Linked DNA regions of Rhinolophus ferrumequinum. The protein of the gene in region 1 purifies or fractionates together with the protein of each later gene. This does not show direct contact. Links are inferred from orthologs where the notes say so. Each region holds a gene or a part of one and is shown on either strand. Other genes may lie near its edges.

Region 1 (15,243 bases):
AGCCCTTCACAGACGAAGCCTTTGACTCCACCAGGATTCCAAACTGGGAAGAAACCAAGTGTTCAGTGCGGAGAATGAACCAAGAAACAGTCCAGGTATCTGTGTTTTAGCTCTGCCCACAACCTGACTCTCCCTGAACTGCAAAAAATTTCACAAAAGACTCTAACAGAAATATGATAACTGATGTTTTGCCTTTTAAATTTTGTCTTCTAAACCAGGTCACCAATTTAAAAAAAAAGTTTAACAATTTGTTATCAGTTGGAAATGACCAACAACAGACCTAGCAATTGTTTTTGTTCCAAGGTCCTTTGGGGACAATAATTCTCCTGGGAGGCAGTGCCTTGTAGTGGAAAGTGCCCTAGGCCAAGAGACCGGGCACAGCCACTTCACGGTTCCCTGATCCACTTAATCTTTTAAGTTCTTCATCTATAAAATCGGGATAATAACACTACATATTCTAACAGGATCCTGAATGGCTTAAATGAGTTGGTGACTGCTCAGTCCTCCCATTTCCCATCCCTGGATAGCATATATTTGGTGTCATCTGCAAAGATAATGAAGTCTTCCTTTTTCCATTGAGTCCTCATTTTCTACCATTCACGTGTCTAATTTAGAAATCAAAACAAGTTTACTCCTTCTGACCTGACACCTCCAAGGAGGAGATGGCCTGGCTAGTTCCCAGGAGAGTTGGCTTAGGGACACATACAACACTTTTTCAGGCCAGCGGAATCTGTCTACTACTTGGGAAAAGAAAAGAACTTTCTTCTGCCTCGACTAGCTTTTTGTGCCTTTAGCATATAGGAGAAACGCATGCCTTTGCTTCCACTGAATTTTCACAGCTTTTAATCAAGTCACAATTGTAACTGGCAATGACTGAGAAACGAGTTTTCTAAAAATATCACAGCTAGTTTTTACATTATGTTACACATGTAATAAGTATACATCTACTTGTATATTCATAACCCAGGAGCAGTTATCACATCCTATTACATCAATTCATCTGTTTACATATCTGTCTTCTGTCTCATCTGACTGCTATTCTAGACAAATAACTACTGTCTTATTCAACTTGATGAAACTCAGCACCTAGCAGTCTGGTTCAAAGGGGTACTCAAAAAACGCCGGTCGGAAAGAAACGTACAGCACAGTACCTTGAATTACAGCCAACGAAACTGGACTTGATCTTTTAGGAAATGAGACGCCCCTACACATTCCTAAGCAGTTGACTGTCCTAACGAAAGCCCAGTGTCAGGAAGGTTAAGGCTTGAGGCACACGGTTGATTTGACTGAAGCAGAAAGAGCAGTTGGGAGAAAACTGTCAGAGTAAATGTATGTGGCAAAACGGTGTGAACTAGGACGGCGGCGGTCAGAAAGCAAAAGAAATGTTTGAGAGACTTTATAGAGAATTTACAGTGACTTGGTACTGGTTCCATTTAAGTAGGCAAGAGGGGAAATGATCCGAGATCAGCTGAGCTTTCCAGACGGGGTGACTAAAATGATGATGCCATTAACAGGAACAGGGATGTCAGAAAAGGAACTGGTTTTAGGGGGAAATGATGACTGTGATGTGCTCAACGAGAAGTAATTAGACCCCAAGAGGAACGTGGTAAGAGCCAGTGCCACGAACGCTAAACATTTACAAGTGGAGCGGTCTTCAGAGGTAGAGCCTTTTCAGCAACCCTCGGTGCCTTTCATTTAAGAACAAAAGGCAACAGGAAGAAGCTGAAGTGCAGAAGCAGACCTGATAAGTTTTGTACCCTCACATATTACACCAGTTAACGTCCAGCTTGGTTCTGTTCTCACTCCTCTCAGACCTGCTGCAACAGAAGGACTGCTTAGCAGAAACTGAGTAGGGCACCCTTCCCACCAAAAATAAGAGTTAGTGCTTCTCTTTTTCCTACAACTTACCTGTCAGCTATTCTCATTATTCTCTCCTTTATAAGGTATAGTTCTCATCTCTTGTTAAAACAATTCATCCCCGCTCTACTCCCCTGTTTTCCTCCCTCCCTGCTTCTCACCTTTCTAAGGAGAGCAGACCCGGAGCACACACAGCCCAGCCTTCCCCAGCAGCTTTTGCACAAAGGATCAAAGCAGAGCCTCCCAAGGTTCAAGGTCAGGAATCTCTTTTTGTCTGGAAACCCCCTCGTCCTGCGCTCTCCCTTCGTCCTTTCTGGTTTCTACCAGACTCAGTAACAATTAAGGATTACAGTCTTTGTGGCTCCACAAGTCAGAAAGGATTGTTAGCAGCAAAGGACACAGATTGGAAGCTCTGAACCTGAACTACAGAGTCTGAAAACACAAGGCAGGGGGGAAGGTCTTACTGCATTCTTTACACCGTCGCCTCCTTGTAGACAATCCTATTTTCCTCCCCTACCTCCACTCTTAACTCCCCCACAGGTGCTTTCTTCTCACCCGTTTTCATTGTTCCTATAACTGCTCCTCACTTTGGGGGGCAGTGGAGGAGTTGTCTTCAAAAGGCAAAAACCACTTTTAATCAAAGTTATCACTGAATAGCCCATAAATCTCACAGAACGTACCGTATCCCAGTATCCACCAAGCCATTTATACAGTTTGACACTCAGGACAGAGGTACTTAAGACAGTAGAGTCTGGAGTGGAACAATGGGCAATTCAGAGAGAAGACATCAGATGGCCGAATCTCTTGCCTTTCTTATTCCCGGGCCAAAAAATTCAAGGGAGATAATTTCCATGACACAATTATGCAACACACACTATGAGACAGACACACACTCTCCTAACAATCCTCAGATCAGATGTCTGAGGTCATGACATATACAAGCTTTGTGTCCCTCTACTTAGAAATCTTAGCTGTATATTGAAAAATTTAAAACAAAACCAACCAATAACTAAAATTAACACTAATTCATCACCTTTGCTAAAATGCTAAAGAAGTAAAAATGTTTAATGTTAAATTCTTTAGCACATATGCAAAGTAGAATAACAACGATAATACCTACCAATTATTGAGCACTTCCTACATGCTACGTAGGTAACCTTGCTTTGTAATCCTTATTTAAATGTAATTCTTAAAAAAAAATTCTAGAAGTTATTGCTATGTCACAGCACAGGAAACTGGGATATGGTGAAGACAGAAAACTCTGCTTTCGTCCTCACTCGCAGTGAGAGTAGTAGAGTTGGGATTTGAACCCAAATTTGCCTTGAAATCTGCGCTGTAAGTTACCACACTCTACAGCCTGACAATAAATATGTCATTTTCTCACGGAAATACTTTGAACTGAACCTTGGAAGACTTGATTTTTAGTTATTAGCAAACATTCAGGAAATATGAGAAAAAATGGCCTTTAGAAACAGGCCGACAAGCCATTCTTGGGGTCAAACACCACAGACTGGATAAATTTCCTCTAGAAAGAAAGAAATCTGTTTCTCGTCTCAAGCCACCAAACACCACTCCAATGGCAACCTATACAAACACCATTCTGCTCCACTCAGAAAAACCAAGAATTCCAGACTAGTTCTGCAAGTTCCAAACCAGGTTCTGCCAAGACAGGAACCCACCGTACACCGACGACTCCATTCAGGGACCCACTCCTATTTGTGCCCCGGTTTGTGCATTTATTCCTAGTTCAGAACAGCACAAAAACAACTAAAAATCCATTAACAAAATCCTACAGCAGATCGGTAACTGGTCAAAACCAAACACTCTTAAACAAAACCCAGCAATCAGTTCCTAGTATGCGCTCCTAAATGAACTTCATTCCTCTCTGGTCAGATTCTTAGGAAAATGAAATCCTAAGATAACTAGCACTGATTACATCAATAAACCTGTTCGGATTTCATTACAGCAAAATTATATATCTAACCAGCAGACATTCTCTTATAGAAAATTCCATATTTTAGAGTTACTTAAGATACTGTGGTTTTATGAGACATCAGGTAGGGAAAATAAAAATTAAATCAAGACAAAAAGTGGATTGTTCATACTAACAAGATGTGCCATATCTTATCAGTACATTATCTTTCTAGGCTACTCTAAAGTGACAGCTTCAAACTAAGTTCAGCACTCATTAAATCAAACTATATATACCAGGCACTGTGAAAGATACAAAGATGAAAAAAAACCACCTACTGGCTGCTCTCAAAGAATTTGTAATTTAATGAGATAGATTAGACATATACATAAAAATCCTCTATATGCAAAAGGCTTTTCTTCATCTAATATGACCAAACAAGTGTTGAAAAGTTAGAGGAAAGATTTCCAAAACCCAAACGTGTATCGAACAGGTCCTTATTGTGCCAAATAATCAAAGAGTGTGATTTGGTTTTTCCTATCTGTTCATTAAGGTCCTGGCAATGTCCACTACTTTGGTCTCCTTGGTCTGCTACCTTAGTTTATTTTCTGTTCTCTGCTCATGTAACAAGATATATCTTTTGAGGATTTCCTGTTTTGCTCTTAGTTTTTTCTACTGCTATTGCGGGGGAAACATGTCTTACCCTCCTACTGCAGTACATTTTGTTTGCTGGAGACACCCTCCGCACAGTTTCTTCTTTGTGCTGTTTTATTGAGGATCTGGAAACAATCACTGAACAGATCTGGGAGCACCGAGAGTGGCCCTGAAAACTTCGAGACTAAATATTCAAAAATAATTATCTTCAGGAAGTCTACCTTCAAGAAAGTTCCATCAGGAAGGTGAAAGACAGCCATTATGAAAGACTACCCTCTGTGAGTCCAACTCCTTGCATCTCATTGCTATTAGCTCTAGCTACAGGAAACAGTAGTAAGATGGACTACAGATAAAAAGCAAAAGAAATGAGCTAAAAATATATGGCAATTTTTAATATATGCAAGTGCTAGCAATGGATGATTACCGAGGATTCAATGGCATTAACATTCCGCCCAAATCATCAATATTTTGCACCTGCTGAAATGAAGGCCAGCTTGACAAAGCCTTATGAGACCACCACAGAGACACTTCTGATAGTTACAAGGCGTGTGAATAGCTGGCGTTAACCTTGTTTTTATTTATCCTTCTCTCTGAGATTTAAAACGTGCTCTTACTTTTCACCCCCTAAATTTTGGTGGCTGACACTGTTCTTGGAAAACCAATCCATAACATTATATATGTATCAGTTCCGCCTGGAGGGAAAAACCCACCATTAAAAAAGGGGGCTAGAGAGGAACCAAAGGCCACAGGACCAGATTAATCATAAACCTAGACAACTGAGCCTGAATTTTCTTCAAACACTTCCTGCCTTTTGTTTCAACAGAAATATACCTTCAAGGTTAACGGCAGTCTCCCTGAGCAACTGACCAGCCCACCTTAGACTCATTCCTAATCTAATGCTCTTTATTTACTCATCAATACTGTTTGATTTTAAAGTGTGCTGTTTATTCAATGACAATACATACTGCACCTCTCCCCACACAAGGCCAGATGTGGAGATGTCCAACACACCCACCTCACTGTGAAACATAAAGGATGGTTTTTGGTTCTTCATCAAGTTCTCAGGGAAGAAATAGGGTGGAAAGCAAAAATGAAACACAACTCAAACCTAAAAAAACCCTTAGAGGTTGGGTTCTCCCTGAAAGAACAGGGTAGAGGGAACGTACAAAGGGGGCCGTGGGGGTGGGGAGTTACTATTTCTCCTTCCTCCAGAGTCTAAAAAAAGTCCCGCAGCAGGTGGGCTCTCTCCCCTACAGGAGAACAGAGGACCCGAGGGGCTTCGGGAGGAAGGCTGATGACCAGAGCATGGGGGATGGGAAGAACTGAAGTGAGGGAAGGCCGCTTGGTCTGTGGAGCTGGCAGCCTAGATCGGGTCTTTGATTTTTGCTTCCGCTCCATCCCTCTTTTTTGGGAAAACACTGATTTTATCTTATGGATGAAACCAGCTCTGGTGCCACCTTAGCGAGCAGGGGCAGGTGTTGGGCGGGATGTCTGGGCTCCCCGGGGGACAAAATGGGGGTGGGAGCGGCAGCCTAAAGAATGGGAACCTGTGCGCCCTCCCCCAAGGTTGAGGCGCTGGGGGCGGGGTTGAATGAGAGGTGTCAGGAGGGGAGCCCCTTCTACGGAGCTGGGATTGATGGGGGACAATAAGTAGCTGCGAGGACCCTCGAAGGATGAGGAGCCGCCTCCACCGGGAATACCGGGAGGTGGAAGAGAGGGCCCCGCCCCCTTCGGGGATGGACGCGAATGGCAGTTGGGACGGTGGCGGGAGGACATCGATGGTCCTACCCTTACTTTTCTCTGGAGAACGCGGCCTCCCAGCCACCGCCAAGCCCCAGCCCTAGCGGCTCCTACCTTATCCCGGCGCTCCGGGCTCCGCTCCTCGCCGCCTCCGCTAACCCGCTCCCATCCACAGTTCCCCGAGTCCCCGCCCCTCAACCACCAGGCGGGGGCACTGGCATTCACCGCCGCCAATCGCCATCTCGCCTCTCCAGCCCCGGCACCAATTCGCGCCGGCTGGAGGCGGGGCTTCTCCAATGTCATTGAGGCTCCTCCCGGGGCCCCGAGATCCCTTTTGTTTGGGGAGAGCCAAGCTGGGATTGAGCTCGCGTCACTTCCGGGAGGAAGCATCCCCCTTCGGCCTGAGCTTGGCGTTGGACTCGGGCCCCTCCCGGCCCGGCTTCTGCAACTTTCCATCCTCTGTGTGGTTTCCGGGCAGGACCGGGCGAGTGCTTCGTGCTTTAACGCTCCTGGTCTAGGAAGCTTAGGAATGGCGGGTGTCCTGATCGATTGGGCCACATTAACGTTTGAAGTGCGCTTTGGTGTCTGCTTTAGAATTTGTTGAAAACCTGGTAACGTGTCTTACCTGCTGTCTCTTTTCCTTGGATGAGTTTGTGGGTGTGGTGCTAGAAGCAAGGGCGCAAAGATGAAAAACCCGGAGACCGCCCTTCTCTATTCACGCTACATTTAGAAGAGCATACTAGCTCTGGAGCCCCTGGGGTGGGGACACTGGCTAGCACCAGGGAGAGCATAAATCCAGTCCGACTTGCCTTCCAGGTGGAAGTCGAATGAATATTTGCAAATTTGTGTGTCAAGGTTTTCCACGCAATGCTGCCCAATAAGGGGACTTTTTTGTGTCCTTCGCACCCTTATACTGTGGGCAGTGGCGTTTGCAAGTGGAGCTCGAACAAAGGACAGTGTAGAGGATGCAAGGGATGTGTGTCCTTTCTTGTGAACCCGGGGATGCACATCTTGCTGGTGGCAGCAAGCCCTACCAGGACCAAAGAGGGGAGAGGATACATCCCCTTATCCCTGTCTGAGGAACTGGATTCCTTTTCCAGTTCACAGATTGATTCAGCTAGCAGTTAAAAGATTAACAACCACATTATTTTAAATATAGCATAATAAATGCTTATAATACAATCGAATATTTATATTCGATTGCATAAATATGTACTAACTTTAATAATGTACTATTCTTAACAATTATTAAGCAAAACAGGGGCCTAATACTCACCTAGGCAGACATAGTCTTCGAGGCAGATACAGCACTGCCCTCATTCAATTTACAGTCTCGTGGAGGGATGTGGTCAGTCTGTTCCATCACAGGGAAATCGGAAGGAAGTAAACCAGTTTTTGTGGCATCACTGTGCCAGGTACTTTCATATGGTATTTAATCTCCACTACTTTATGAAAATCTTTGCTGACCTGTAAGATAGACATTGTGCCCATTTTACACACGAGACGATAGAGATTCAGAGAAATTAAGTAACATCATAGAGCTAGTAAATGGGAAAGAAAAAAACTTAACAACAATGAGTGATTCCAAACCTGTGGCATAGTCGCTTATCTCACTCTGGCTCTTACAAGGAAGACAGGTCCAGAGAATGGACCTAGATGACTGTAAAATCACCATTAAAGCCAGAAAAAAGCTTCATGCCTCCCTGTACTGATTGGCTGTAGGCTTGAGAGGGTCATTTGTATATATGAAGGACAGCAAAACTGTACTGAGGTGCTCAACAGCGGCCCAAGTGCCTTTTAGGTAATGAAGTAGGAAATACAGAACTTCAGAAACACAGCACTCCCTGTGTTCAGGTGACTGATGATCTGAAAGGCAAAATGAAAAGCCAGGCACATAGTAGGTGCTCAATAAATAGTGACTTGACTTGAAACAAAATGTCTGAGATGATTACAAACACTCAATTCAGGTGCTGGAATAGGCCCATGAATTTGAAAAATCCCATTTCCTCCTCCACCCTTTTGCCCAGCCTAAGGGTGTGCAATGAGGAAGTGCCTCATTGCCTGACAATGAAGCAGATGTGGGAGAACAGGCTATTTTCTGCTGGCTTCTGAGTCACTCTAAGAGTTGTCCTAGTGAATCAGCTCCTCCCTCCTTCCCCTCCCTCCCTTTTAGCTGTTAACCCACCAGTGCCCATTCTACTCCCACACTGTAGTGCTCTATGCTACTCCCTTTATGGCAACGGGCAGCTCCCCTGGCTCCCACAGCTCCGTCCTGTCCGTTCCTGAGTGTGAGAGGACCCAGCAAAAATTAGACCATATTTGCCTTGTAAGATTCAGAATCCTGAGGGTATCCAGATTGCTTTTGTCAATAGAATCTCTGCCACCCACAGGAGTACCCAGTCTGGGGTGTGGCGGGGGTGGAGGCAAGACTTTATTCAGGTAAACAGTTTGCAAACTGGGGAAAATGCAGGCTAGAAGAGGGAGAGAAACTGAAAATGCACTTTCCTGCGACAAAGGGGATGCTGCCTTTTATGAAGTGCTGTCCTGATCCGATTGGTCTTTTTATGCAAATGAGGAATCAAAATTTTCCCTGTTTGATTGGTTCAAATAGCACTGTCCTGATTGGTCAGAATCACACATTCTGATTAGTTGTTATTTGCTGGTTGGTAAAGATGCAAATGAGGCTCTAGTTGCTCAGTTCTGATTGGACAGAATCTATAAGTTTTTGCTCAGGCTGCAGGAATGCAGTGCAGGAGGCATAGATAGCTAGCTCAGTCTGTGGCCCTACCTGTGAGAGGCCTCTGCAAACAATGGCTGCTGGACTCTTGCTTAGGTCCAGTTAACCACAAGGAGTCCTTTTTGACAGATACATTCCTTCTGGGGTAAACACTTTCCTTTTAATTCACCCCTGCAGGTAGTTAATGAGCAGGGTTATGAACTTCAGGAGACCTTCAGGCTGTAGCTGCAGCCATGAGAGAGAGTTCTGAGTGTTAAGATTCTTTAATATATAAAATGTGTAAATAGAGTACAAAGATGTACATAGAGGTAGAAAGTGGGTTCTTAAGCTATCTTAAGTTTGTATATCACAATATGGCATTTTTATATCTGTTATTTTATCAACTTGCCAGTAAATATTTATTAAATGCCTACTGTGTGTCAGGCAACAACTTAGTAGGAAATGCTAACGATTATATAGATTGAGTCAGCTTTTCTCCAAACAGGTAAACTTCCTAGCTAGGTGTTCCATAAGTGTTTATTGCTGGCTTAGGGAGGCAATGATGGAGTAAAGAGGGCTAGACTGGAATTTAAAAACCATGAAGTTCTGTCAGAGTTCTCCCTCTGTCACAAACTTTTAATTTCTTAGGGCTGCCATAACAAATTACCACAAACAGCGTGGCTTAAAACGGAAATTTATTCTCTCTTAGTCTGGAGGCTAGAAGTCTAAAATCAAGTTGTTGGCAATGTTGGTTCCTTCTGGGGGCTCCCGGCTTCTGACGGCCCCCAGACAATCCCTGGTTCTGGGATTGAAGTTCCTTGGCTTGTAGTTGCGTCACCTCAGTCTGTCTCTGTCTTCACACGGCCTTCTTCCCTCTGTCTCGATGTCTCTATATGTCTCCTCTGCTTATAAGGACAACAGTCGTATGGGATTTAGAGCTGACACGAATCTAATACGACCTCCTATTAACTCATTACATCTGCAAAGACCCTATTTCCAAACAAGTTCACCTTCTGAGGTTCCAGGTGGACATGAATTTGGGGAAGGCGAAACAGTCAAACCGGTATGTAAACTGTACTTCTCAGAGTAACATCCCACTTAACTCCCTCCATCTGACTTCATTGGAAAACAGCATAAAAGTAATAAAATAATTCCCAGAGATCATTTCAGTTCCATGATGATATAATTATATATGCCAGTAGCCATTTGTCAAGCCTTTACAATATCACAGGCACTATAAAATTGCTTTACAGTACATCTGATTCAACCTTTAAAAGAATCCCAGGAGAATCTATCTCATTTTACTGATAAGTAAATATCCTCATTTTACTGATAAGGAAATTGAGGCACAAAAAGATCCATCCATGGTCATGGAATTCATAAGTGACAAACATAAAATATTTACTTGGATCTGACTCCAATTACTACCTCCATCATGCTAGATGGGGGTTAGGAAGACGGGGCTTGCAACAAATATAAAAATTTGTAAATAAATCAAATATAAAATTTGATTTATGGAATACTTGGAGCTGAGCAGCGATCTTCCTGGGGTTACGTGTGTTGTTTGGACCAATTTTAAAGCAAGGGTAAGCAAGAGAGGAGGGAATGGTGGGTGGCAATGAAAATTTAGTAGGGAAGAGAACTATGGCCACTTACCTGAACCTGTTTCCTCATTTGTGAAATGAGGTAATAGTCTCAGCCTACAGCACCTGGTGGTTGTGAATACCCAAGTGAGATGATGGACATAAAAGTATTTGGCTAACTCTGAGGGGTTATTATAAACTACCTGGGAGATCTTTGCTTAAAGACTCCTCTTTGGGTCCCAATCCTCCAGCTAAACATCTGGGAGTTGAACACCTGGGGTTCTATAAGGCTCCTTCTAGCTGTGACTCGCTGGGACTTACTAAGATGCTGGGTGAGCTTGATGTAAAAGTTGGGTGACTGGGAAAAGTGACCTAGCCTGTCTTCCCTACCTCCTTTCTTCACCCTCCCGCTCAGCTCCTCCAGAAGGGGATCCGGCCGTCGAAATCTAGAAGCCTGAGAGGGCTCTCTAAGGCAGGGACCAGGCGGAAGCAGGAGGGAAGATGGGCTCTCCATGGCTCCCAGCATTTTCTCCCATCATTAGTTTCCACAAAGGCCTTTCTGCGTATTCCTTAAGCGTTCTCTTCTGCTAGATCTGCTCCATTTGAGCGACTGGGGACACGCGGAATGGAGAGATTTCGGGGCGTGGCCCTCACTGTGTTCCCGAGCTTACTGCTCCCCCTAGTGCTGAGCGATGAGGTCTGCAGCTGTCAGCTTCCCTCCTGGCGATCTCAGTGCGGTCCTCACCATTTTTCCTGAGAGTCAGGAAAAACTCCCACCTGACAGTTTATCCTTGTATGGGTGTGGGCTGAGACCACCACAGGTGGGGGGGCTCCAAGGGCCAGCAATTTGAAAAACCACTTTCAGGGACAGATTCTTCTGTTTTTTTAGCTAAATGTTGGGGCCAGCTTGGCCATGAGGGATCCAGGAAATTCTTACCCTGGATTGTGGAGGAGGAGGTCTGGGAAGGAAAGGGAAAGAAATCTACCATTGAGTGCCTACTATGTATCAGGCACTTTGCCAATGTTACTTGTATACTCCTCGTCACCATTACGTATATAATCCTTATATAATCCTTGGGACCATCCTAAGAGGTCATTATTCTTACTTCCTACTTCCGGTGTTTCAGATAAGAAAGCAAGTTCAGAGAGGTTAAATGTCTTGCCTAAGGCCACATAATAACAATAATGATGATAACATCAACCAATCATGTAGTACCTGCTTCACACCAGGCACGTTATTTCTTTTAATCCTCACAGCAAACCTTTAGTTCTTACAATCTCCGTTTTACAGACGAGGCCCCTGGGATTTAGGTAGTTTAAGAAAGGGATAATGGGGAAGCTTGACTGAGGTCAGAGAGCTCAGCCCTCGGGGCTCCAGCCGTGCTGTTTCCATTCCAGGATTGCCTCATGGAGCTGGTGGGTGGTGGAGGTGGGACTGAGCCCAGACCTGCGTGACTCACTGATCTTTCCATTACTGGGGCTGCCTGGTGGCCCTTCCTGACGACCAGGAAACTAGGGCCATGTGGTTTTTTGGATCTGCAGATCCAAAGATAGAATCTTTTCTTAGGACCGCAATGACAAAGCCAAGGCCGAAGTTCACAGGATCCTGGGGACAATTTGCTTGGGGAAATGCACGCTGGGAATTGCACAGCAGTATTGCTGTTAGGGGCCTTCGGGAGAACACCCGCGGGACCCAGGGTCCCGTCTCCCTCATCCTATGTGGAACTCACATGCTCCCCTGAAGTCGGGGGGCCGGGATGGGGGACACAAAGCTCACAGAGGGGCAAAAAGGGAAGGTAGATGGTGTGCAGTTTAGCCCAGATGGAAAATTCCTAGAAGTAGATGAGATACACTGTGGAGTTTCCAAATCACCCAGCAAAGTTCCCAAGAATGGGAGTCGTTTTGAACTCCTCTCCTCACCCCCAAAATACAGATTAGTCATAGGTCCCTGGAAGAATGCTCTATGTTCCCTTGGATGAGTCTCAAGTTTTCCTTTTGGTTTTGATCTCTGAAATTATAATTGAAAAACATATGCCAGATGATGAGTTGATAAACTGGTTAATGTTATGTTTTTTTGTTTCCAAGTGTCATATAGGCAGACACGTGGGAAATGATATCAGTCGTGTACCATGTGTCATATGTAAGTGGACTTATTTCATTACAGGTTAACTCTTTCTCCCTCTTCCAACCCTTCCCCTTTCTGTCTCTCTTCCTGTTTCTCCTCTGCTCCACTGCCTTCCTCCCCCAAAAGTCTGGAGTCAGATCCCCTTTCTGCCCCGGCTGGCTATTCAGACAAAGCTCTGGGCTGAGTAGCTTTGCCAGAAGGGCTGACGCTGACCGTGAAGGCTGGTCCTCTTTCTCTTTCCCGTCTGTTCCCCCTTTTCCTCCACACGTGGGCTGACATTAAGCAGAAAATAATTTCTGTGCTATGGCCAGAGACAGAGTTTCTGCTCAGCTGGGCTGCCCTACGGCTTCAATTTGATGAAAGCCAATTACACATTTCCCCTGGTCTGTTATTTCAGCTGAGGCCCCACACAGTTGGATGAATGGGTCCTTGTTGCTCACAAAAGGGAGAAATATTTGTAGGGAAAGTAATGACCTGGTTATGGCTGCACCGTCATTTCTAGGCAATTTTCTGGTACGTGGCCCTTTGGAGTAGGCTGGTGCAGGAAGTTGCAATACCCTCATTTCCTGCTTTGTGGCTCCTGCTGGGCTCTGCAGGGTCTGGTCTGACTAGAACCAAGTGACCAGGTGACTCAGGTTTCCTGCCTCCTTGGGAGGAGTCTGTAGATGAGTTATTTCTCATCCCCCTTTTTTTCTCTCTGCCTTGCCTCCCTCTTCCCCTTTTGTTCCTAAAATAATCCTTGAGTGTCTCCTATCATCACCACGAAAAATAACACACAGCTCCAACCTCAGGATGCTTACAGTCTGGAGGGGAGTTAGACTTAGGTAACTCACACCTCAAGTTCTCCTGCTTTCTGTAGCCACACTTTCCAAAGAAAATAACTCAACCCACTGTCTTCTGTCATAGTCGGGATGCCTCCAGATATAAGGGACAGAAAACTGCTCCCACATTGTGCAAAGCAAAAAGGGTTTTTATTGTGTTCATGGCACGAAAAGGTCTATGAGTAGGCTAACTTCAGAAGAGGCTGGATCTGGCTTCTCAAAAATGTAACCAGGATCAGGTTTCTCTCTGTGTATCTCTCAATTCTACTTCTGTGTTAGTTCTATTTACAGACATGCTTTCTTTTTTAGTTGGCCATAAGCACAGTAGCTCTAGCTTCAGATCCCATCACATTCAATAGGAAAGAGCACCTCGCTCTTTCCCAGAAGTCTGAGAAAAATCTCAGTCTGTCTTCTTGGCTCTGGTTGGACCATGTGTTCGCCCCTGAACCAATCACTGTGGCCAGAGGAATGTGTTGCTTTGATTGACTAGGTTTAGGTCATGTGCTCTATCTAGAGCTACAGATTAAGTGTGGGAAAAGCTATAACCTTAAATGAAAATTCATTTATTTCCCCACCCCCACCAATGGGGATGGATGTTTGCAAAGCAAAAGGTGAATGTTTACTGCACATTTGAGGGTTCGTCCACCTCACATTTGCTCTCAGGTCAGCTTGAGTTGCAGCCTGCGTCTCTCACCCTGCCCCAGCTCTGCCTTGGCCTGGACTTTCCTAGCTGTTGGTCGTTGTCAGGAACTCTTGGATGGAGGGGCTTTGTCCTGTTACCCAAAGCACTACTAACAAAAGACTGTTGTGTATAGCAACTTTTCACTGAGGATTTGGGGGACTAGGGATGGTCCGTGCAGTATTAAAAAGTTATTTAAAGATTAGAGGTTCTTGGATTTGAGGGTGTATTGGAATTGCCTGAAGGTCTTGTTAAATCACAGGTTGCTGGGTCCCATCTCCAGAGTTTCAGCAAAAATATATCGAGTTCCGGTGTGCCAGACACAATGACCTTGGTTCCTGCTCGAACTTTGTCATGCAGAGTGATTTAATTCCTTATTGCTCAACCGTTCTCTCAGTTCTACCCAAGGGACTCACTTTACTTTTCAGAGCTAGCTAAGCCCATGAAGTCACTTTCTTCGACAAAGGAATCAATATGTACTATCCCTGGAGGTCAACTGACTCAAACTGCACCCAGCTTCTGTGATACTATTTTAATTTGTTTTCCTGCTGCACAGGCAAACGGAAGGTTGTGGGTGATGTACAATGCTAGCCGTAATGGTAGGCGTAGCTTTCCGAGGCACAAAAGAGGGAGTGGCATCTTCTTCGAGGAAGAGCTGCTTGACTCTTGTGTAGCGTCGTGGTCACTTTAGAGCCAGACCTACTAGCTGCATGACTTTGACATATCACTTAGCTACTTTGAGTTTCAAACCCCTTATCCATAAAATTGAGAAAATGCTAATGTGATTCACAGGGTTGTAGTAAAGATGAAATGAGACACCAGGAAACTTACTGATACCTTTTTCTCTCTACCACCAATCTATCACTGAGTCCTGTCAGTTCTACCTCCCGAATATCTCAAATCTTTTTACTTCTGTTTCTACCGTCACCACCATCTTGATTTGTCCATTATCTTGTTTCTTTCCAGGACAATAGCAGTAGCTTTCTAAGTGGTCTCCTAGCATTCATTCTAGCCCCTTCCAGTTCATTCTCCACATAGCAAGCAGAGTAGATTTTAAGAAAACACAATCTAATCCTGTCATACCCCCTCCCTCCTGATGAAAACTTTCTGGTTCTTAAGATAACATGGTCTACAAAGCCCTCATATTTGCTTCCTG
Region 2 (15,090 bases), on another chromosome or scaffold:
AGTGTGGAAGCCTACCAGGCTAGGCCAGGCAGGTTGGAGTCTCAGGGGAAGACTTCTGCAGGAAGGTGAAACAAATAGCCTGTCAGTTCTCCCGGAACTTTCTCAGAGACGGTTTCAACAACTGGGGTGAGTTTGGGGTTGAGTAAGTGTTACGATAGACTGAATGTGTGTGCCCCCCAAAATTCCTATGTGAGACACAACCCCTAATGCCATGGTTTGGGGGGACGGCCTTTGGGAAGTGATTAGATCACGAGTCCTCAGGTTTGGGATCAGTGATTTTATAAACGAGACCGACCCCAGAGAGCTCCCTTGCCCCTTATGCCACTGAGACTGGGTCTAGGAAGTACCCCAGAATCTGTCTGTCCTCAGCTTCATCTTGGGCTTCTTAGCGTCCAGACTGTGAGAAATAAAAGTTTATTGTTTAAGCCACGCAGTCTATGCTACTTTGTTGTAGCAGCCTGAACTAAATACATTACCAAAAAACAACTCCCCCAAAAGAATTTCAAAAGTTAATCCTGGTTTACTAGTTTACAAGGACTATTTACAGTCAATTAATGTACAGGCTGATCTAACCAAAGTTACAATGTAACGACACTAGGGAGAGGGAAGGAAGGTAACATGTCAGAGAATGAGGCAACAAGAGAAATCCTCATCTTCACAGATAATGCCAGAAACGAGGGGGAGAAAGTAGCAGCAATTTTTTAAATGTTCTTTATAAACAAAGAAGTAAACACAACAATCAACTAAGAGAGATCAAAGGGACTGCCTTTGGGGAGGAAGAAATGGAGGCAAGAGGCAAGTAACTGCCATCTTTCCAAACCTTACAAGAAGCCATCTGACTCTTTAAAACATATAATTTCTTTATAAAAACTAAACAAAAATCCTAAATAATTAAAATTTTTAAAAAGGATTTGGGTCTTTCTGGTCTTTCAAATTTTAGGGCCTAAAATCTTTTTTAAAAACACGAAGAGATTGAAAATAATAGGATGATAAACACCAGCTACATATTTGGTAATAACATAAAACTTGAGATGTTGCCACAATTTATTCAGATACCAATAGGCTGCTGACCAGATAAGGTTCCTTTTGCTGACCAAGAACCCTCATGAGAATATAATGAAAGGTCTCTAAATAGACTGCCTTTGTAACCCACAACTTGAGATGTTTTATACTTTGTAGCAAACAAAGGTACATCTTGTTTTATTTTTCTCTAATCTCAACCTTGGAAACCAGGGAGCCTTTTAGGATTAGGAAATTCCATAGTCACCCTCAGGAGCCAGGTGTTGCAATAGGCATGTTTTTCTTTTTCCCAAAATATCTGGCACTAAGAGTTTTTAAATACATTGCAATGCAAAAACATGAATTATGGGAAATGACTGGCCCAATGACAGCGATTGACTCTAAGCAGCAATAGAGGGATAACAGTGCAACTTCTATTTCCTGCACAAACTCCTTCCTGCCACAAGATTCCATTAATGATAACCATGCTCAGCTAAAGCAGAAAAAAAGCCACAAGAGGGTTGGCTGGGTGCGGTCCATTTCCTGCAGGTACCAAGTTTCCAAGCAGGCAACTCTGAATCACTGGGAGAAATCACCCAAATAGAGAGTAAAGTAGCATGTTTCTCAAGAGATCACCAGACTCCTGGACTCTGGCTTTAGCATGACTGTAAAAACGCACTAGGGAGAAGCAACAACTACCAAGGGGCTCATTTCTTCAGTAACTACTCACTGCATATTGAACTAAGGTCCTAGAAAAATAGTCTTCAACTGAAGAGCAGTGTCCACCTGCATCAAAGGAGCCAGCTCAGCTACACGCATCAGAGCCGTACCTCAAAGATGAGAACAAAAATTACAAAAACGAACAAGAAAGCAGTGGTGATGACTGCCACTTACCCCTAACTACTCTCTGCTGGAAGACTGTTGCTACATTAGCTGCCTAGAAAAATCGAATCTGACCAATTGCTACTTGACGCTCACTTGGTTCTATGTGAAATACTATCAGGAACGTTCAGAAACAAAACATCCTGGACACCTCTACGTTATATTTTTTCATTTTAATTTTTTAAAATCTTCCGACGACCCTCCCCCCAAAATATACACTTTTAAGCAAATATGTTCTTAACCCTGTTAAGTTTTGGTAACACAGGAAAAGAGGGAATATGAAGTATTATTGAAATAGGTATCTTTTTTAAGAAACTAACAGAAAAATGTGCCTTTACTTATTCTTCAGCATAAAACAGCAGAAAGGGTCAAAATAAGAGGGGGGGTGGGACAGAGTAAATAAAAGAGTAAAATGTTCACTGACAGTTCAAATGACCAAGGTTTAAATCCACCTTGTGAAAAAGTCCACCCTGGCCACCCTGCTGACACCAGCAGCTCCAACCACTCAGGCTTCTCTGCTGAGCTCTCACTGCCTGAGGTTAACCTCACCTCACCCCCGTCATGCCACTGCCTTTCAAGCCAGCACCCAGCACTCCCCAGAACCCAGCTCCCTCTACCTTCTCCTACCTACCACCCACAACTGAGAAAGCAGGGTTCCTGAGTACAGAACACTCAACCCTGCCCTACTGCAGCCAGGAACCAGGCCCCCTTTCCCTGGGTCCATGCAGTTCCCTCACCCCCGGCTCTCAACACCATACAACACCTCTGCTGTCTGCGCCCCACTGTCCTTCATGTGGATTGGCCCTCACGAGGCTGGGCCTTCCTGGGGACAGGCCCGCAGGAGGTTCTCACCTCCGTCTCCCATGGCTGCTGGCACCACACTCTGCAGACGAATATGCTGCCTGAATGCAGGCTCCTCATCTAGTTCAATGTGCTGAGACACCAGGCCACGTCCTACAGCTCAGCATTTCCCTCAAGGTGCTTTCACAATCTAATTCTCACAAATACTCGAAAGGTCCACAATTGTGATACACCCACCTTTGCCCTGGGTGCAAATGGTAACAGACTGAACATGGGAAGGTCTCTTCCATGGAAACAGGAAAAAAACTATGGAAATGTGACACTAAAGAGGAAAAAAAGGGACAAGAGCACTTAAGCCACAATTAAATGCAACTGTCTGTTGCCTTCATTTCCCAGATTTTGCAGAGCACACAGGCTGCAGCAGGGTAAGCAAGAGCACTTGAGAAAAGCTCCCAAAGCATCCCAACTGGCCATTACCGTCTTGCACTGTATCCCCACACAGGGGACTTCTCAGGCAAGGGTTTCTCCAAGCAGCTAGCGCAAAGGAAGGATAATGCTAACCAGTAGAAATTTTAAGTTCTCTCGCTGTTCCTATAAATTGTCTGTACTTTCAAATATGAGAATATCTTAAATTTATGACATTCTCAAAACATGCTAACTTAACTCAGGTTTCACTACACATGTGACACAGCTAATCAGTACTTTTCAAACTTGGGTCAAATCACTCAGCTGTGAAATCAATTTAGTGTTGCAACCCGCTCCTTTTTCTTAAAATATATCACATAACAGTACTTCACAAGTATTAAGGATCAGGACTATCTTCCAAAATTTCTGTTTCCGGTCTTGATGTAAAATGTATCTCTTACATGGGTCATAGTCCAGAAAAGTTCAAAAGTGACCGACAAAATTCTGTGAGAAATGTATAAACCAAAATATAATTCTTCTCAAATTTCAACTTGTAAAAACTATGCCGTGATCAGTGCTCTTGCCTCCAACTGAAGCTTTATTTTCTTTTAATCTGAATTGAGTGAAACACCAAATATCCAATGAAGGACAGGGAGTGGTTAAATCTACACAACAACCTAATTTCTTTATGTCTATTCGTAGTTACTACATTCAGTTCACGATTTCTATTTTTTCCCCCTATGCTAATATGAAGCTGGGGTGTGGGAAGTAAAAAAGAAAGGCACCCTGGCACCCTTCATTAAACATTAAAAACAGATTTAGTCATCAACCCCTCAGCCAGGACCTGCCACATGAAGTGGTCAATGACTGCTGACTGAATAAAATACCAATCTCGTATTTCTCGTTTCTTCACCACACCCAAGTTGGAATGAAATGAATATTAATTTTTGTAAAAGTAGTAATACAGCATGGTGAGTATGGTCTTGAAGGCAAGAAAGACCTGGTTTCAAGTCACAAATTTGCCCCATCTCACCTTGGTCAGTTCAATTAGTCTTTAGTTGATTCCCAAATCTAGAAAATCGCATATAATAACTATGCCTCAAATGGTAACAAGTAAGAAACAAGAGGCATAGAAATGATTTGCAAGACACTGAAAACTTATGTTTACACTAAAATGTTCTCTCATTCAGGCTTATTTTGTAGGCATCTTTGCCTAGGCTGCCTGAATTCACTGTACTGTCTTCCTAAAACTTTTAACCCAGCTCCTTATAAGCCCTGGTCAGGAGATAAGAGAGAAAAAAGAGAGGGATGTGAGATGTATCAGGACAGAGCACAGAAGGGTTAGTAGTTCTCCTGTTTTATCCTAGAGAACAGGCCAAGGCGGGTGTGCCTTTAATTTAATCCCCAACAACACTGAGGAAAAGCCTCCCTGGGCAGTAGCAGCTGCTAATTCAAAGTAGGAAATAAACGTGCTTGTTGTTTTTCTTGGGGGGTGCGGGGGGGGGGGGGGGGGTGTTCATTCCCAAATAGCAAACTAAAAACAATTATCATACAGTTTATACATGTACTTAAATATAGGGATGACTGTCAAAAGCCACCTTCAACTCCTCTACAACTCTAACAAGATGAAAATTTGGTTTTTTCAACTAAATAAAAATTTATCAGCTTTCATACTGAGAAAGCAAAATAAAAACAGTTCCTTTGTAACACTACCTAGTAAATGCACTGTATTTGGGCGGCAAAGTTATTAAATGAAATTCACCTTCTTTTCCCAAGATTTAAGAATTTTGGCCCACACTCTTGAAGAAAGAAAAAAGTGAGGACAAAAAAAGGTACCTGGTAACCATCTGATACTGACTTCAGGGCACCAGCTAGTGAGGCTTTTAAGTACCTTTTTAAACTGATGCTCTCTCCACAAAGGCGGAATACCTCCGTGGTAAACTCTCAGGGAGGCATTTGTGCTAGACTGCAACCTGATTAAAACAGCATAAAAGTCCGTCTAAAGGAAAGATTGAGCAGACGTATTTTTTTTTTATTTTTTTTTATTTTTTTGGTCACTACAAGAAGGCCTTCTTGCTCTACTGGTCAGAAATCATTTTTCAGCCAGTTCACCCTGCCTTCCTGCATCTCAGTTCAAACCAAACCAAAGCAGGAACTTTAGGAAATACCAAGAAACCACATCTGATTTTTACCTAGTGGTCAGCAAAAGCTTAGCTTTTAAATGCACGTTGAGTTTAAAAACTCTTTGGATGAGATTCAAGGACAGTTTTCTTCAAGCTCTCTCGGTATTAACTTTAACTGCTACTCCTTAAAAAAAAAAAAAACTGAGGCTAGAATTCTGGTAACTTTATGTTCCTATATTTCAGTACTGCAAACCTAAACAATGAAATCGTTTTCTTTTTATGGTTTTAATGAGAGAAAACGATGTGCGTCGAAAGAGAGGAACAGATTCCCGGCTTCTAAAAGGCCAGGTCCTCCAGCCCCGTTCCTCTCAGCCCTCAAGAGCGAGGCAAGAAGAGAAAACAAGCCCGTGGCTGTCTGTAGGATAACTAATCCACTTAGATACTGGGGTTGTGTTTTCATGATCACTCGTTTAGCTAAGTTGGGAGAGCAGAACGTTAATGACATACCCTAACTGCATCGTGAGGTTTTTAATCCTAATGATTTTGACACCTCTTATGCGCTTACACGCATTACAAATTAGCCAAGCAGGGTGGTTTTATTTTTCAAAGGGCTAAAAACGGTGCCCGATACAGAAAAACTTGAACGCCTTCATGTAATTTGAAATTCAACTTCTCCCCACCCCAAAAAAGTCAATGGTAGGCCAACATGCCACAAAGTATCAACGGAAAGGTTTACTGGGAAGAACTCATCTGGATTCAATCAATTCTCAAAGTAAAAGCCTAGTGTCCCAGGACCGGGCGGGTCAGCCTCGGCTCGGGACACTCGAGTGCACGCTGTCCCAGGGAGTCCTTCTGCACGGTTTACAGGCTCGCACTTTCCCCTGTGTCTGCACCAGAAGGAAACGCGCGCTGGAAGTGGAGCTGGCAATTGCACCTCCCTCCACCCTATCCCGGCTCCTCCACCCGGGCAGGGCCCAGGACTAGTCCTGACGCGCCCGGGGCTCCCCTCCCGCCTCTCAACTTTACCGCCCGCTCGCAGGGAGGGGACAGGGGCCTCCAGCACCCGCCGCGCGCAGGCAGGGCCCAGAGACCGCGCCGGGGCCTCCAAGGGCATTTCCCCACATCACTTCTCCCCCGGGGCTGGGGCCGGCGCTGGGCCTGCAGCTCCGGAGGCGCTGGGGAGACAGGGGAGCGGGGAAGAAGACGGCCGGCACCCCCACATCCCTCCCTGACCACCGCGACTCCCAGACGGAGAGGGCCGCCTCCAGGCCGCGGCCCCCAGGTCCCCGCGCCGCCCCCCGTCCCCGAAACGCTGACCGCCGAGCCGGGCAGGGGCGCCCCGGGCACTGAGAGCCGGACGCGGGAGGCCGGCGCGACCCCGGAAGGGGCAGCGTGGGGGGGGCCATGTTTACACCGCCAAGTTCTCTGCTTCCGCCCCGGCCCGCGCATCCCTCCCGCCCCTCGGCGGCCCGGCTGCTGCTTACCTGCATGCCGGGCAGGCCCGACTGCACCGGGGAGTGAGCCATGGCGGTCAGGACGGCTAATTCCTGGGACGGGACGGCCGGGCCGCGGCGATTCGCGCGGGCGACGAGGCCCGCGGGCCAAGCGCAGCCCTCGGGCGACGAGGGCGGCCGGCCAAGCCCGAGTCGGAGCCCGAGGCCACCCCAGCCCCCGCAGGTCCCGGGCCGGATGGTGGCTCAGCAGCCGGCGGCGGGCGGCGTCTCCATGCACAGCGCCGGGAAGGGGCTGCGAGGGGCGCAGGGCCTCGCCGCGAATAGCTGCTGCTGCTGCTGCTGCTGCTGCTGCTGCTGCTGCTGAGGCTGAGGCTGAGGCTGAGGCTGAGGCTGCCGATGCCGATGCCGCCGCCGCCGTCGCCGCCGCTAGGCTAGAGCCGGAGGCCTGGAGTCGGAGTGGGCGCGCACAGCCAGCCCAGCCCGCGAGCGCCGAGCGCGCCCCGCCCCGGCCCGGCCCCCGCGCCCGCCCCCGCGGCCCGGCCGGGGACCCCGCCCCGCGCTTCCGGGAGGGGGAGGAGGCTCGCGGTCGCCAGCTGCCCTAGGCCGCAGCCGCCGCCTGCCGGGGCGGGCGGGGATCCGAGTGTTGTTGCGCGCTGCCCTTTGCCCCCAGTTGGCGGCTATGAGCGGGGAGGGGGCCTCAGCCTGAGCGGCCTCCCGGCGTGGGAAAGAGGGAACCGGGTGGGACCCAGGAATTGGCTGTGTGCCCACCCCCACCCCCACGCCTGGGCCTGGTGGGAGTCCTAAGGGGGTCTGGACGGCGAGGGAGCGGTGAGCACCAGCTCTGACTCTACCATCTTCCTCCTGCCCTCCAAGCGAGCCCACCCTTTTCCTTCTGCCCCCAGGAAACGGGCTCCAGGCTACCTCCCCGAGGGCATAGTCTGGGGCTGGGAGACTTCGGGAGGGAGAATGCCCAGCGGGGCCTCAGCCGGTGGTCAGCTCAGAACTACCAGGGCGGAGTTTCTTCGGTGTCTCCGTGAAGTTTCCAGCCAACCCGAGGAGGAAACCGAGGGGAGAGGCCGAGAGCTGTTCATTCTGAGTGCTTTTGCTGCTTGAAAACAGCCCCGCTTGCAATACTAGGCGCTGTAAACTTAGCTAAGAAGCGAGGGGGCTCAATCCCACCATCTCCGGGCTCAGGTTCCAGGCTGCAGCGTCCACCATGAGAAGGGAAATGCAGGGGAGGGAGGGAGGGGCAAGGAGGAAGGGAAGACAATAGAAGGAAACCGTGTCTAGACTTACCCCAGCCCTCTCCCTCTCTGCTGCCTCCAAAAGCCCCAGGTCCGCTCTGGGCACCACTTCTGTCTCCACCTTTTAGTCTCCAACTACAGAGGAAAGAAAGAAGGAACGAGTCTGCTGCCTCCAGAAAGTATTTTATTTACAATGACAGTGGTAGCCACTGAAGTGATCTGCTGTACCTCAGGTTGTTGGGATCCTGGCACCTCATTCATGCCCCTGAATGAAAGCCATGTTGCACCATCACTGTGTGAGGTTGGACATACAAAAATGAGCCCCCAAGAGTTCACACACTACTGGAGGAAATTCTAAAAGTTCTCCACCGAGGTAAGGAGTGTTTATTCTCTGAGGTGTCATTGTATTGAGAGACTTTCAGTTCTCTCTGTGCTCTGGATTAGACAAGGAGGGGGGTGCTAAAATGTACTCCCTGCTTTCCCTTTGGGAATACACGATACACGTGTTTTTCCTTGGGATTCTCCAGGATACCTTCAGATAGCTTTACCGTTGTCACTGGTACACTAACTGCACTGAGTTGTAAAGCCCTACCGCCCCCAAGTATTGGGAAGAGAAGGTGGCAAATGCAAAGTGAAAAAAAAGCATGGGGGTGGCCGGTTAGCTCAGTTGGTTAGAGGTTGGTGCTAATAACACCAAGGTTGCCAGTTCTATCCCCACATGGGCCACTGTGAGCTGTGCCCTCCTTAAAAAAAAAAAAAGGAAAAGCATGAATCCTGATACCTAGGATTCACCATCTTTTGTAAATTTTGTGTACCTAAAAAAAATGGGTACATAAAGAGATGAACAGTAAAACAAGCAAGAGCATAAATCTTAAAAATGTTCATAATCTTCAACCCAGGAATTCTATTAATATTTAGAAACAACCAAGACATGCATAAGAATGGATATAAAAAGATGCAGTTCAGTGATATTTATAATCATGGGAAAACTGGGAACACATTAAAAGTCTAATAGATATTAAGTAAATGATAGTATATTCATACAGTGAGTACCACGTAGTCAGTAAAAAATGATGTATTTCAACATTTAGTAAAATGGAAAATATTTTCATTTTGTATTGTTAGAAACAAAATGCAGAGTACAAAACTATTATAGTCTGATCTCAAGCTACTTCATGTATATGAAGTTATATTTAACATATATATCATTTACATGTATGTATAATTTTATGTATATATTTGTAAACAGAAAAACCTGAAAGTATATACACCAAGATTTAGCAGTAGCTTTTTCTGGAATTAAAGATGATTGTTTCAGTCAGTGGTCAACCATTAGAGACCATCATGCTAAGAGGTCTCTCCTTAGGATCAGCAATCAGAGCAATAACGTGATAGCAAGATAAGAAGGAAGAAATAGGACGAGTGGACAGAAATGTTTGGGCACTAAGCTGAGGCATTACCGTAGGAAACACAAAAAACACAGGGGCCTGTTTTGTAGTGGGCCAGTTTGCAACAAATAAGCCATAGTGGGGCATTGGACCACAATACCCTGCGTATCAAAAGTATTCCAAATCCTTTTTCACCTCCAGAGACTAGTAAGGCTAAGAACAGGTATGTTACAGTAGGATACATAATTCATCTGGACACAATTACTTGCATTCTTTAACTGGTCTATTTCCCTGTACCCGGCTTATCTCCTCACCACAAGTGAACTTCATTTCCTCCTTTGACCATATTTATACAATTGAGCATCATTGTCCTTGAAAGAGAAGCAAAATAGGAGTTACTGTTCCGCACAGTCATAGGCAGATATTTCCCAGTATTCCGCAGACAGTGGCCTTCTCCCTTTGTTTTAACAGAACACAGATGATGGACAGGGCCTGAGCCCATGATGCGATCCTGCCCAATTGCTCATTGAATCCATTCATACATTAGCACATTTTTTGAATGCCAAACACATGTCAGCATCTGGTTCAGTGCTGGGCGTATAAATACTAGGTTCTCAGATGCCTCTCATCCTATCCTCGGGACGTGGTCTCCCAGAATCTTAACTTCAGAATTTTACAGTACCACAATTGATTAAATTTAGAGTCACAATGTGTATAGTTCCACTAAGGAAAGAAGAGGATTATCCTTTCATCCTCTCCCTTTTGTCACTTCCCTCCATCCTCAATTTATAATTCCAACAGATCATATACTACTGTAATTTCAGGAGAGATTTTGAGGGTCTCTATAAAGATCATGCATTTTCTGGTCTCCATGGAGATACTTACTAACCCAAGGAATTATTTTCATCCCTTGGCCCTCTCTGTCTTTTGTGTTGACCTAAGGACATGAATTGAGCGTGAATTGTGCTCTGACACATATTCGGGACCACAAAGGACATTTCCATTCCCCTATATAAAGCCCCTCCAAATATAGAACCCTTGTGTATTGACTTCCCCTAAGCCAGCTCATAGCCTCAGCAGAGCTCAGAATGCAGCCAGAAACAAGAATTCAACAATCAGTCCCTTCACTTCTTCTGAGTTGAAAAGATAAACACCCCCAAATGCCACTTTATAAAGAACAGCTAGACAAGTAGCACATTAGCAATTTAAATTTACAGATTAAAGAAAGGGACTTACATGGTGAACTTTAAAGAGAGAAATATGAGTAGCTTGGATAAGTAACTAACAGAAGGCTTGACAAATTTCTACACATGTTTAGCAGGTGAAGACACAAAAGAGGAAGACAGATTTATTAAGATCCGTATAAAGCAGCATGACTAGACATAGTTGGATGACATGATATCAAGAAAATGTATGCTAAAGCCCTAGGAAAAGATCCAGCTACATTGGGGAACAGTGAAAGGTAGTTGCATTCTGTGACTGAGGCTCAGAGGGCAAGCTCACAGCACCATCATTCTAAGTCAGTTTTTGGTTGCACCCTACATTTGTTTGCTCAGGCTGCCATTACAAAGTACCATGGGTGGGGTGGCCTAAATAACAGAAATGTATTTCCTCATAGTTCCGGAGGCTAGAAGTCCAAGATCAAGGTGGCAGTAGAGTAAGTTTCTTCTGAAGCCTCTTTCCTTGGCTTGGAGGTGACCATTTTCTTCCTGTGTCCTCCCACAATCTTCCCTGTGTGTGTGTATCCTGATCTTGTCTTATAAGGACACTCATCGCATTTGGCTAGGGTACACCCAAGTGACTTCATTTTAACTTAATGACCTCTTTAAAGACCCTATCTCCAAATACAGTCACATTCTCAGATACTGGGGGTTAAGACTTCAACATATGAATTGGGGTGGGGTTGGGGAGACACACGATTCAGCCCGTAACACACCCCTTTCACTATGTATGCATTTCTGGTCAGCGCCCTGTTCCTCCAGGCTCAGGTCCATGAGCAAGAGCTTGCTTTTCCCTCTCCAAAGGCCTGTGGACCTTGTTACACACTTCACATTTCTGCTAATAGACATTGTTTCATATTTCCTTGGGTGTAGTCTCTAATCTTTATCTCACATGGAAACCAGAGCACTAATCTCCAATCACTGGACAACTGAGAGCAGAAGCAGGGAATAGAAGCAGGTGTTTGCTTTGTAAAAATATTTCTAGGGCCGGCTGGGTGGCTCAGGTGGTGGAGCGCCGTTTTCCTAATGCTGAGGTCACAGGTTCGATTCCCACATGAGCCAGTGAGCTGCGCCCTCTACAGTTAGGGTTGTGAACAATGGTTCTCCCTGGAGCTGGGCTGCTTTGAGCAGCCAGAGGTCGGTGTGAGCTGCCGTGGGACGCTGGGGGCTGCTGTGCTACCAGGAGCGGCTGGTGGCCAGCATGAGCAGCTGGCAGACGACCAACTACTGACTGCCTGAGCTGGGGGGAGCGCAAGGCTCATGATACCAGCATGGGCCAGGGAGCTGTGTCCTACACAACTAGACTCAGAGACAACGGCTTGAACTGGAGTTGGGGGTTGGGGGGAGGCAGAAGAACGAAAAAAAATTATATATATATATATATATATATATATATATATTTGAAATCATCTGGAATACATGGCAAAACCTGCCAGAAAAGAGTTTAGAGTATTTTGTAGGGGGTACATCAAAAGTGATGAATACTCGTTTCAGCCAAAAGGTTATGCTGTAATAAGGTCTGTCTTTAGTGCCTCTGTCATCCCTGAGTAACATTGCACTTGGAGATTTACCAGGATTGGAGGCTGAGTCCCCAAAGGGCCGGGGGGCTTTTAGTTGCACATTCCCAGCGTGGCAGTTCTAGGGACTCACACTAGAGAAGTTTAGGCTGGTAAGAAGGGCAGACCGGAACAGGCTCACTAGAAAAACTCTCATGTGCCATTTTGCCTGGTAAAGAGCCAATTAACAGAGCTTGTCACCCTCTAAACAGTGGCCACTTGACCCTGCCAATCAGCTTATAAAGGCTTCAGTAAACAAAGACTCATCAATCTCTGTGTGTGTGTGGATTTCCCTCCCTCTGGAGGCTGGGTTTGCTTTCAGATGTACCCAGAAAGGACATAAATGAAATCATCCCCTGAAGGGTGATTTCATCCGTACTCCAGTCACAGAACTGTTAACACCAGTTCTTAAAAACCCTTGGCCTTGCTTTCTGACCAGGAAGACAAATGGTGGGAAATGGTTTTAATTTTCTCTTCAAGAAGATCTAGGGAATTACGTGCTTAAGGAGGATTGTATAGCCACACAGAGGTAAAATGTACCTATGAGTTACAGGCACTGGTTCCTGAATGCACATAACCAAGTATGCTTGGAACCCTCGTGAAAATACTGACCTAAACACTACCCTTTCCTTCGCCTGCAGAAAAGCTAAGCTTGTAGTCCCTTGATTTTCTCTACCTTGATATTCCAGCCCAGTTTTATTTGTTTTCCCAAGAAGATGTATTAGTGATGATTCTATTAGTTAGAACTCTTTGAATAACAAGTGACAGAAACCTAGCTCAAACTTCTGTAAGCACAAAAGGGAAGTTTTAGCTCAGTGATAGAAATCCAAGCTTGGCTAAATCCAGGAGGGTGGGTTCAATGATAATATCAGAATTCTGTCTTTATGTCTCTCCTCTGCCAGCCTCTGCATAGCTTCATCCCCATGTAGATTCTCTCAGTGTGGTGTCAAGAGTCCTTCTAATATGGTCCTTGTAATCGTAGAGAGAAGAGAGCGACTTTCTCTTCCCCAGTGTCCGTGTGCCACATCTGGTGGAGGAACTCAAATGTGTGTGTGTGCATTCTTGTGACCAGAGAGCAAGAAGACACAGGAAGCCCCATCCCAATAGCATGCAGTGTGGAAGAGGCAGTTTCCCAATGGAGAAAAGCCTGGTCCTGGAACACTCCACCCCTTGAAGGCCCAGCACATGCACACACTTGTGCACTTACACGGTCTCTTTTTCCGTAGGTAGAATTTCTTCCGTAATCCTCCTCCGCCAACATAGTACAGCCAATCCATGTGTATGCAAAGCAAGTCAAGCTCAAGTGCCTTCTAGTTAGGTCATCCGTTTTCTCGTCCAGGGGCTCTGGATAGTATGCATTCTTCTTTGTCAAGTCTGGATGTGGCTTACCACAGGTCAGCAGTCTGTATCTAAATGGTAAGTGTTATCTTCCTAATGTGCTTAATATATTATGGAAAAGAATATTTTTGATTAACCACTTTAAAAACTCTCACTTGAAAAGGGGGAGAAAGGGAAGTGAGCAGGCATCACCATGAGTCCATCACATGCAGTTGACCCGTGAACAACACTGGTTAGGGGCGCAGGCCCACGCACAGTCGGAAATCCACACGTAGCTTTTGTCTCCCCACAAAGTGAGCTACTAATAGCCTGCTATTGACAGGAAGCTTTGCCAATAACAAACAGTGGATTAACATGTGTTTTGTATGTTATATACATTATATACTGTATTCACATAATAAAGTAAGCTGAAGAAAAGAAAATGATGAGAGAAAATACATTCTACAGTATTTATTGAAAACAGTCTGCATGGAAGTGGACCAGTGCAGTTCACACCCATGTTGTTCACAAGTCAGCTGTACATGGTACCTTCCTGGAAAGTGAGGCTGTTGGGTGTGGGGGGGGGGCGGGTGCGTGAGCCAGCCACTGGAGCTGCCCTTGGCTCTGCCCTTTGAAAGGTTCTACCTTCTCTGTGGTCCTCCATGGCTACACAGGAGTGGAACGTGGGGCAGGCTGCTCCTTCTGGAGGCTGCACGACTTGACCAGCCCTGCTCCTATTGGTGAAGGTTTGGGGTCCTGGGGATTGCCTTAGTGCAGAGGTCCCAAACTTGCTCCTTAACAGCACCCTTAGCATCTTAGTAATTTATTCATAGCATCTCTGAGCCAAAAGAAATACCTAACAGTCCAATTAACTAAAAAGCTAGGTAAAAACAGCTTGAGAATTTCTGTCTTAATAACTTAGTAGCAATCTGAAGAAATAATCCTGCAATTTAAAAAAATATTTTAATTTCATTTGTAAGTAATCACAATTACTTGCTAAGGGGACATGTGTTTCTGTTGGAAACTGCACACCGTTCCAGACCTTAGAATCACACTGGACACCATCACCTTCAGTTCTTGTTACATATTGATATTTGTGCTTTTTGTCACAGCACCTCCCAAAAATATAAGCACCTGCTTTGCAGACATATGACATCATTGAAAAGAATGTAGCATAATCGCATGTTAAAACTGTGGACTACCTGTCAGTGTGGTGTCTGACAGATGTTTAGTACCGCTATTTCCTGAAAAATTTTAAATATCCCATGGTTCCACTGTGAATTCTCTACAGTACTCAGGGTGTGTTGGGGCCATGGTTTGGGAACCATGGTTTAGAGATTAAATAGTGACTAAATTGCTCTGGTGATATAATTCCCTTGAAAACTGAGTAGGAGACCAAAGTCATCAACCTATGGAGTCCGAGTCCTTGAATGTGCACCTTTCCATTGCACCTTCTGGCCTTCCCTTATGGAGAGCCTGTAGGTGTTGGGCAGTGGCACACCAGTATACCCACATCATGGGCAGAGCCGATGGCGGAGAGTGTTCCCTTCTGTTTAGACCCGTGTGCCATACAAATACTATGCTTCTGTATTTAGATGTGGGTGTCGTCAATTTTCATCGTCTGTACCTATTGAGTCCAAAGTCTACAAATGATCCAGGTCCTGAAGCACAACTGGTAATAGTTCAGCCAGCTCAGACCAA

Evidence for each region.
Region 2: the proteins of CTTNBP2NL (region 1) and STK24 purify together in Homo sapiens (affinity purification with mass spectrometry; 3 studies listed by BioGRID and IntAct, with this or other methods). This does not show direct contact. The link is inferred for Rhinolophus ferrumequinum from reciprocal best matches to the Homo sapiens genes CTTNBP2NL and STK24.

What each region holds. Positions count from the first base shown.
Region 1 is NC_046305.1:43,724,038-43,739,280, reverse strand, and holds the start of CTTNBP2NL (CTTNBP2 N-terminal-like protein), read right to left. Parts: upstream 6,391-15,243; 5' UTR 6,278-6,390; intron 285-6,277; exon of another isoform or gene 1-284. UniProt on the Homo sapiens protein: Regulates lamellipodial actin dynamics in a CTTN-dependent manner. Associates with core striatin-interacting phosphatase and kinase (STRIPAK) complex to form CTTNBP2NL-STRIPAK complexes.
Region 2 is NC_046287.1:44,272,723-44,287,812, forward strand, and holds the start of STK24 (serine/threonine-protein kinase 24), read right to left. Parts: upstream 7,053-15,090; 5' UTR 6,737-7,052; coding exon 6,695-6,736; intron 1-6,694. UniProt on the Homo sapiens protein: Serine/threonine-protein kinase that acts on both serine and threonine residues and promotes apoptosis in response to stress stimuli and caspase activation.